2 linked regions of the Cricetulus griseus genome follow. Each later gene encodes a partner of the first gene's protein in a complex. Links are inferred from orthologs where the notes say so. Each region holds a gene or a part of one and is shown on either strand. Other genes may lie near its edges.

Region 1 (4,281 bases):
CTGCATGTAGTTACCTACTTTTCAAATTGAAATCTTTAGAAGTAGTTCAGTAAATGGAGAATGTACTCCAAAACCCTCATTTAACTATTTCTCTCTTCTTCAGAAATGTTCCTGGCAGAAGAACTAACCAATGTGATTTTTAATGATGAGCAGTGAATTTATTTCAAATCTAAGCAAACTTGAAAGATCCACAAGACTCATTAGAGACAAAATAACGAGGTGTCTTGAACAGTTTAGCATCATATATACCACAGTATTATGACACTGGGTTGTTTAAGGGGCAACTTTTCATTTTCATTTACTAAAGCTGAAGATGAAGAGTTGACATTAATAATTTAGAGTAAGTCAGGGTGAAAGAGGTGAGGCTTCGAGTGTAAAAACTGTAAAGTAGACAGACTGAAAGCAGTACCTCCCCTTCAGTGCTGAGCAGTTCACAAAAACACCTTCATAGACATTATGAACTAGTTTTTAATTCAGACCATTAAAGAAACTCAAGTGTAATATGGCATGCAACTTTTAGGCACACACACACAAAATAAGAAAGAGCTCACTTACCTCTACCAGCTCTGCCAACAGCAACATTGTATGTTGGCTCCCCACCTTGACTCTTTGTCCGGATATCCATTGTGCAGTCACCATCAACGTATAGACTATCTCTGATCACTGAACACTTCTTTGCACCAAGAGTCAAACCGTTGGTAAAGAAACCTTCCCGGTCTTTTCCTACAATCATATCTATTTCTACTGGCTGGCCACCCAAAACAAAGAAAAAAAAATTGCAGTTAATTCCTTTCAGAGTTTGATACAAGGAACAGTGCTGATGTAAAATCAAGATAACATTTTCTGTTATTGCCTATTCCTACATGATTACACGCTTAACACATTAGTCTGCCTTTGCATTTTAACAGTGAGTTCTGCTAACTAAAAGCTAGTGCAATACCAACCATACAAAGAGTCTCCCTAAATAGTTGGCAGTTGACACTAGGTACAAACTGAAAACGAGTTATTTATAAACTATATCACGTCAGGTGGTGCCTGAAGGTGCTTATGTAATTGTAAAGATTCAGCTATAAGCTCTTCCAACAGCTTGCCTATCATATTCAGCCACATTAGTCATGTTGCAACAAATTTAAAGTTGCAAAAGTCTCCCCAGATAAACCTGCTCACTTCTCTCCTTAGAGCAGCTTGAAATATCCTTGGTAGCATGAATCTCAATCACCAGACTGGCGGACATTTCCAAATTCGTATTTCCCTCCTATTTTCTAGCCACTACTCCTTTCTCTCCAACTTGCCTTGCCCTTTCATTCAGTAATCAGCTTTCTTTCTGTCTCCAGCACTACCGTCGGCGATAGTAAAATTATAGAGAAAATGGAGGGGCACTGGTAAAGAAAGTGAGGTAGCCACCAGAACCGGAAAAGAGAAAACGTGCATTCTAACATTCCATGAATAAGAAGGAAGGCGTCGCCCCCATCAGAACTGCAAAGTCATAGCAGGCCCCAGCCATTTCCAAGCACACTCCCGCAATCTTCTTAGCCAGACAGCGGGAACTCACACACAAAGACAAGACTGCAGGAAAAAAAAAGTTGATCACCGAATGTCAATTCCATATAGGAATTGTAGTCTCCCACACCGGGACAGAAGATCCTAAGGCACTCCTATCAAGGGCTGAATCTACACTAATATGTTAAACCATGTCAAGTAGTAAAATGCTGAGTACCTGTGATATGAAACATGAATTTTGCTGTGTGATAGGAAGAGAGTGGGAGTGTGGGGCTACGAAATTAAGGGAATGGTCTTGTACTTGATACTGGAGTCAACATTTTAAAGAGCCTTACGTAGAAATGGGCATAACAATAAGCAGTACTGGAGGCTGATTGACGAATATCTCCCAAATGTGTGGCAACCAAGTCAAAAGCCATCAAGACACCCGAATATGAAGCAAGGTGAAGCATAAATCCGTATTAGTTCTTTTACTACCATCACTAAAGAGGGAGTGACTTGGAGAAGTGTCACCCCTCCCGCGACTTCCAGATAATTTTTTTTTCTTTTAACCACCCTAAAACCATCCTCTTTTTAGGGCTAGGTTGCGTAACTGGGGATAACGGTATATCGATGAATCTCTATAGGTGGAGAAGAGAAATCAATGGCAGTTCGCCATCTTGGAGGAAAAAAAAAAACTATAGAGCCACAGATGAAGTAGATTCACGATTCCACATACGTGGTCCGCGTACCCTTCTTGCCAGCCCAGGAGGCCTGGGTACAGGCAAGCCTACGCAAAGTCACTCTATTAATTCTAGGGACCTGGCCACCGCTGCCTCCCACAGCCCGCGCTCACCGCCGAGTCGGGGCTAGCCGGCCGCCCAGGACCCCCGCCCACACCCGGGGACCCGCACTGCAGCCCACGGGCCTCCCGGAACGCCGAGGGGCCTCTCGGGGAGACGTCCCCTCCTCCACCCCGGCAGTCGCAAGCCGGGGCGCCGCCGGGGCTAAGAGTCCGGCCGCCCCGCCCCCGCGCGGCCTCGGGCAGCATCCCCAGTCTCAGCGGCCCACATCCAGGGACTCGGCCGCATCCATCCCCTCCCCGAGCCGGCAGCATCCCTTGCTCAAGCCCCGGCCGCATCCGTCCCCTTCCTCGCGGGCGGCGTCCCCTCCTCGGAGGCCCGCCGCACACCTGCAGGCTCGGCGCCCCAGGGCCTCACCGTGATGCTCTGGAAGACGCCCCCGGCCGTGGCTGCCCAGACGTATTTGGCGTCGCAGTAGCCGACAATGGCGGCCTCCTGGCAGCAGCCATCGCACATCAGGTTATCCACGTAGCTCTGCCAACCGGCCATCTTCGAGCCCTTCGCACTGCAGCGGGGACGGCAGGAGCAAAGGCGCAGCGGCGGCGGCGGCGGCGGCGGCGGAGGCGGGGCGGGGGCGGGGAGGAGGCGGCTCTGCGCAGGCACCGACCGCCCCTCTCCGGGAACTGCGGCGGGCGGGGACAGGACCCGCAGCGGGGACGCGGCGGGCGGCCGCGGCCGCGAGGCTCAGGAGCCGGCGGCGGCGGCGGCGGCGGAACGATGCGGGCAGCGGGGCTGGCGACGGCTGACTGTCAATGCGGCTCCCTCCGTTCTCCGGGGCCAGCGGGACGTGAGCGCGCGTGCGTGCGATCCTTCCGCAGCGCGGCCGGCCGGCGAGGGTCTCGGGAAGGGCGGGGGAGCTGAGGCGGGGGCGCGGATGGATACCGCCGGGGACAATCACGGCTGACACGTGCGACAGGAGAGCGGACTAGCCGCTGGCGCTGGCTGGGGCGCGGCTCCGGGGCTTCAGGCCAGGCGAGGCAGCATGAGTGGGTGCCGTGGGGTGCCCCTGGAGCTCCGCACGCGGGTCCACCGTGCGCCCTCCTCCAGCGCTGGCTCTGGATGCGGTATTGACAGCCGCGGTGTCTGGTGGCTGGGTTGCCCTGGTTACGGATGCGGCGGGGTTTACTCTTTGTGGTTGGTGGGAGCGGCCAGTGAGAGTTGCCCATGCTTGGGCAGGAACCTCGGAGAAGATCTCTGCCAGCTGCTCCGCAGCATGCAACTGAAATCAGAGCCGCGGCAGGGGAGCGCGCTCCGTGTTCTTTGTTGCCTCCTTGGGTACCAGGAGTCTGGGGTTCTGTGGAACCTTTGCCCTGAACCCAGTGTTGCTAATCATGCCAGGGCCTCGATCATCCAGAAATTCTAAATGAAACAGACCTGCGTGCACTTGGTAACTGGAAAAGATTCTGTGCGTTGCATACGTCGCTGAAAATACACAGTATCCAAGCTAGGGAAGGTTCTAGAGCAGTGGTTCTCAACCTTCCTGAAGCTGTGACCTTTCAATACAGTTCCTCATGTTGTGGTGACCCCAACCATAAAATTGTTTTCCTTGTTATTTCAGAACTGTGATTTTGCTACTGTTATGCAACCCCAAAGGGGTCATGACCCATAAGTTGAGCACCACTGTCCTAACAGTGAGAAATCATTTCAGAATCCAAATCTGAGAAAGACTTGTATTTAACAGGGTGGAAGATAGTTGAGTCTCTGAACTTCCTCCTACATCTTTATTAGCTTTAGGCGTTGGGTCTAAACCCAGAATAGATGTTCTCCAACAACAAACCTGAGTGACCAGCTTTAAACCACAAACCTGACCTGCCTATTAAGGGAAAGAAAGCCCCCAAACCTTGCACACTATTGTCAATTTAAAGTGTGGAGTACGCTGATAATTTTATAATAACATTGCTGAACTTTTATCTCCCCCCCACCCTACTTTTAAGGATAA
Region 2 (4,267 bases), on another chromosome or scaffold:
TGAAAGGCCAGCAGGGAGCGAGCATCCAGGAAACGGACTGGCTAAATAAAGGCCGAGCGGGTTGATCCTCCGTGAGTCTTGGGAGGGCTCAACCAAGACGATCATAGGCTAACCCCATCCCCTACCTGCGTGCCTCAGTTTCCCGACCTGTAAAGCAGGAACCGGCGCTTGCCCGGGGTTAACGCCTTTCACCCTGCCAGGTGGAGCTCTACGGGAGGGGGCGTGTCCATATGGTGATGATGTAACTCTGGGCGGGGCCTGCGCGGGGCTCAACTGCGGAAGCCTCGGAGGGTGTCTGGGCTCGACTCCTCCCGGGTGCGCGGGGGGGAGGGGGGGTCCCCAAGGAGGGTCCCTGGGCCTCTGAGCCTACGGGGTGGCTGGGGCGGTCCTACTGTGTGCCGTGGGCGAAACTGAGTCGTAGCTGGGCATGGAGGGGGGCGGATTAGGGGGTCCCACCCCTTCCCCTGCGCTCCGGGTCGGTCCCCACCTTCACCCCCGCCCCCCCACCCCCAACCCCATCCCCCAGCCACGACCCAGCGACGGTGAGTCAGCGGCCCCGCCGCGCCCCCTCGCTCGCCCGCTCGCCCACTTCCTCCACACCTTCCCCGGGAGGGTGGGGGGGCGGCGAGGGGCGGGGCCCGGCCTGAGAAGCCAGATCTGGGGAACACGGAACCTGCGGGAGTGTTACTTAAAGGTGGAAATCGATGAGGTCCCCTTGCTTAACCACAGGGTCCCGCCCCGCCCCACCCCACCCCCCAAAAAAAAGAACTGAGCACAAGAAGTGCACGCACGGAGCGCGCCAGATCCTGCACCCCCCAGATCGCTACCTTTAAGGATTCAATAGTGGGGGCACCTGGGGATCAAAGAAAGGCCGCCTCTCCTTCCCCGCGCTCCCCCCCCCAGCCCAGCCCGGCCCGGCCCGGGGGTGCTGCACCCCCACGCCGCCGGGCTCGGGGAGGCGAGCGATTGCGGAAGCCGGAGGGAGGTTCCGCGTTGCCTTATAAGCGCTCTCCGCCCCCCCCTCCCCTGCGCTCGCCCTGAGCTGTCCGCGGCGCCTTTAAGGCGCGGGGCATTGTGGGCGCGGGGAGTGGAATTTTGGAACGAAATGTAGCAAAGAGAGTACAGTAGTAAAGAGTAGCCGCCGAGGTGCAGCTGGCCGACGGGGTGCGCGGGGGAGGTCCGCTCGCCGCACCCCGCTCTCCAGCGCAGGGGGGGGGGCTCGGTGCATCGGAGCCCCGCAGGGAGGAGGCGCCCGAGGGAGGACCCGCCCCGGCCCGGTCCACGTTCGCTCCGCTCCTCAGGAAGCCGGACTCTACGGGGCGGGACCCCGGGAGAGCCTGAGCACAAGAACCTGGAGCCGGCCCCGCACCCCTGCACTTCCCATCGGGGCCGCCGCGGGAGCCCTCCCCGCGGGCGAGCCGCTCGCCCGCCCAGCGCGCAGCCATGAGGTGAGCCCCGAACCCCACCGCGCGCCCGTGCCAGCCGGGTCCGCGCCCCGCCTTTGTCCCCCTCCCCCCCGGCTCGCCCCAGGCTGCGATCAGGGGACGCGCCGGGCGCCCCAACTCGGAGCCGATCGCCTCCCGGGGCGCTCTGCACTCCCCCCTTTTCCTCCGCGCTGCTCCCCGCAGGCTTGGGGCGGCGCCGGCTGGAGGGGGGGGTCTCCGGGGCTCCGGGGGGGTCAGGCTTGGGGGGCGCTCGCTGTCGGGACTCGGGATTGCAGGACTTTGGGGAGCACCTCCGAGTTGGCGGAGAGGTGGGGCCGTCCCGTGGAAGCCGGGCTGCTCGGAGGAGTCCGTGCCCCAACTCCCGTGCCGTCTTGGGGAGGTGGTGGGAGGCTGGCTGGAGAGCCCGTGCGAGCCGGTGCGAGCCCTGGAACTCTGAGCCCTCCTGGGGGGGCGGGGGGAGGGCGGGGGTCTCCGCACCCCTGCGTCAGGGGCGCGGGGTGAGGGTCCCACCGCGGTTCTTAACTTCGGGGTTACTTCTCGTCGCCTCTAGATGTGGGGGGCTCCTCCTGCAGAGGGGTCCCCTGGAGGGTCTGCCTGGGACTCCCTCCCCCCTGGGTGCCCGGGAGCACTCACCCCAGGCCCAGGGTGGCTCTGTCCCACCCCCCCCACCCACCTGGTGGCTCAGGAGGGAGGGGGCGCGGCAGCTGGGGGAGGGGGGCCTTTGTCTTCCTGACTCACCTGTCGAGACAGCTGGCGTGGGGGGCGGGCCCCCGAGTGAGCACTGTGGGCCAGCTGCTTTCCCCACATCCCGGCCCCTCCCCCTGGGCTCCCAGTGTCGCCCGGTGTCACTCCCCCTTCCCCAAGCCGTGGGATTGGAGGAGGGGGCGCTGGAAAGCGTCAAGGTCACAGCCTTCTCCCTCAGGGACCCAGGCTTCCCGGGCTTCTTGCAGCTCTCTTCTTGGAAATTTAATCCTGGGGGCGGGGGGTGAGGGGAACCCAGGAATTTCTTTTTCTTCTTTTTTTAAATTAATGTCTTCCCTGGACGCGCCTGCCCTGAACTCCTGGGCTCACCTGAGGGCGGGGCCCGGGCCCCCCATCATCTCCCCCTTGGGGTTACATCTTGACAATGCTATCTCCCTTCCTCCACTTTGGCTGGGACTTCCTGCCCCAGAGCCCCTGGCTAGGGGAGGAGTCTCCTGGGGACACTTTGGGGGTGTCCCCCGGTGCGCACATGCTCCACTCTTGGCCCGGGACGTCAGGGTGACATTCCTCTCTAGGACCCCGCGCGAGGACCCCTGCCTCCCTCCCTCCCTCTGGTCTGTCCCTTGGCCTGTGGGAGTGTTGGGATCTGGAAGGGGACCTCGAGACACCCTGGAGACTTCCTGCCTGCCTGTCCTTCCCTCCCCCATGGGAGCGCTGTCCCCCCTCGAGGGGGTCAGTTCCTCACTCCACTCGCCCCCCCACCTCCTGCTGCCCCCAGCCCTGCCCCTCCCCCACCCGTTTCCGGTCCCAGGCCCAGTGGAAGGCGGATGGCGGATGTCCGAGTTAGTGCCGCCTCACTCGCTGAGACCGTAAAAGGGCAGGAGCAACGTCTGGGCCGGCCCCCTAAACCCCCACCCCCAGCCGCGGTCCTCCCGCAGCCCTCCTCCCTCTGACTGACCCGGGACAAACCTCCCTCCCCTGAGGGAGGGCGCAAGGGGGACGGGTGGGTCCCCCACCCCCTTCAGAGAGGGTCTCCCTTGGTCACTTGGTGAGCTGTGTCCCTGTAATCCTGGGACAGCTAGGACTAAAAGAGAGAGGCAGACAGACAGAGACCCGTCCCCCTGTTCCCAGCTGGGTAAACTGAGGCCCAAGACTGAGAAGCCTGGGTCCAGGGCCTTCAGGGGTTCTTGTGCAGTGTTGGGGAAGGGGGTGGGCAGGTTTGACCGGGGGTAGCCGAGGTGGAAAGTTACAAGAAATGGTTCCTTTTCTCCCAGTTTGACAAATATTTGTTGAGTGTCTGCTGCATCCGGGAGCTGGGAAGGCGGGGAAGGGGTCAGAGGTCTGTCTGAAGGCTCTTGGGCAGAGCGGGTTCTGAAAGAAAGCGCCTGGGTTCATTCCTTTCCTCTTGCAGTAATAACAGAAGCGGCGACTGTTATTTTATTTTGAAATGACAGGCGGGTTCGCTCACACGTCTTCGTGCCAGGCACTGTAAATACGGGTCTGATTCCATTTAAACCCCCACCACAGATAAAGTGTGATGCTAGGACAAGTTTTGTGCCCTGGTCTTGACCCCATTTTACAGGTAGTAATATGGAGGCACAGAGACATTAAGGAAATGGCCTATTAAAGTTTAACAGTTTGGGAGCACGGGGTGGTGACTCATGCTTGTAACGGTAGCACTTGGAAGGCCAACTTGGGCTACTGAGTCCCTGTCTCAAAAATAAACATATAAAATCAAACACTTTGGAGGTGGTAACAACCCAACTTGTTTGTACCCAGGACTGTCTAAGTACTGGTATTATAGAAAAAGGAAAATAGAGTCATTTGTGACTTTTTGGTTTTGTTTTTGTACAGATAACTCACTTTTACTATTAAAAAACATTTTTCCCCCCTGCAAAGTCACCCTCTGCTCCATTGTGAGCTTGAGGCCAGCATGGGCTATAGAGTTAAGTTCTAGGTCAGCCTGGACTACGCTGAGCCTGTTTCAATACGCCAACCTCCCAAGCAAACAAGCAAACACCTTTGCCTTCTTTTTCACTTAGGGGAAACTGAGGCCCACTGGATGGAGGGAGTGAAATGAGTCCCCGGAGCCCCATAGACGGAACTTGACCTGTCAAGAT

What was found.
Region 2: the proteins of Pfn2 (region 1) and Vasp are in contact, whole or in part, in a crystal structure (PDB 2V8C), measured with the Mus musculus proteins. The link is inferred for Cricetulus griseus from reciprocal best matches to the Homo sapiens genes PFN2 and VASP. Residues at the interface, in NP_062283.1 of Mus musculus: Gly3, Trp4, Ser6, Tyr7, Asn10, Cys13, Tyr30, Trp32, Met131, Tyr134, Ser138, Phe140; in NP_033525.2 of Mus musculus: Gly165, Pro166, Pro167, Pro168, Pro169, Pro170, Gly171, Pro172, Pro173, Pro174, Pro175, Pro176.

What each region holds. Positions count from the first base shown.
Region 1 is NW_023276806.1:93,602,528-93,606,808, reverse strand, and holds the start of Pfn2 (profilin-2), read right to left. Parts: upstream 2,910-4,281; 5' UTR 2,832-2,909; coding exon 2,700-2,831; intron 749-2,699; coding exon 556-748; intron 1-555. UniProt on the Homo sapiens protein: Binds to actin and affects the structure of the cytoskeleton. At high concentrations, profilin prevents the polymerization of actin, whereas it enhances it at low concentrations. By binding to PIP2, it inhibits the formation of IP3 and DG.
Region 2 is NC_048602.1:28,086,778-28,091,044, forward strand, and holds the start of Vasp (vasodilator-stimulated phosphoprotein), read left to right. Parts: upstream 1-1,306; 5' UTR 1,307-1,443; coding exon 1,444-1,448; intron 1,449-4,267. UniProt on the Homo sapiens protein: Ena/VASP proteins are actin-associated proteins involved in a range of processes dependent on cytoskeleton remodeling and cell polarity such as axon guidance, lamellipodial and filopodial dynamics, platelet activation and cell migration.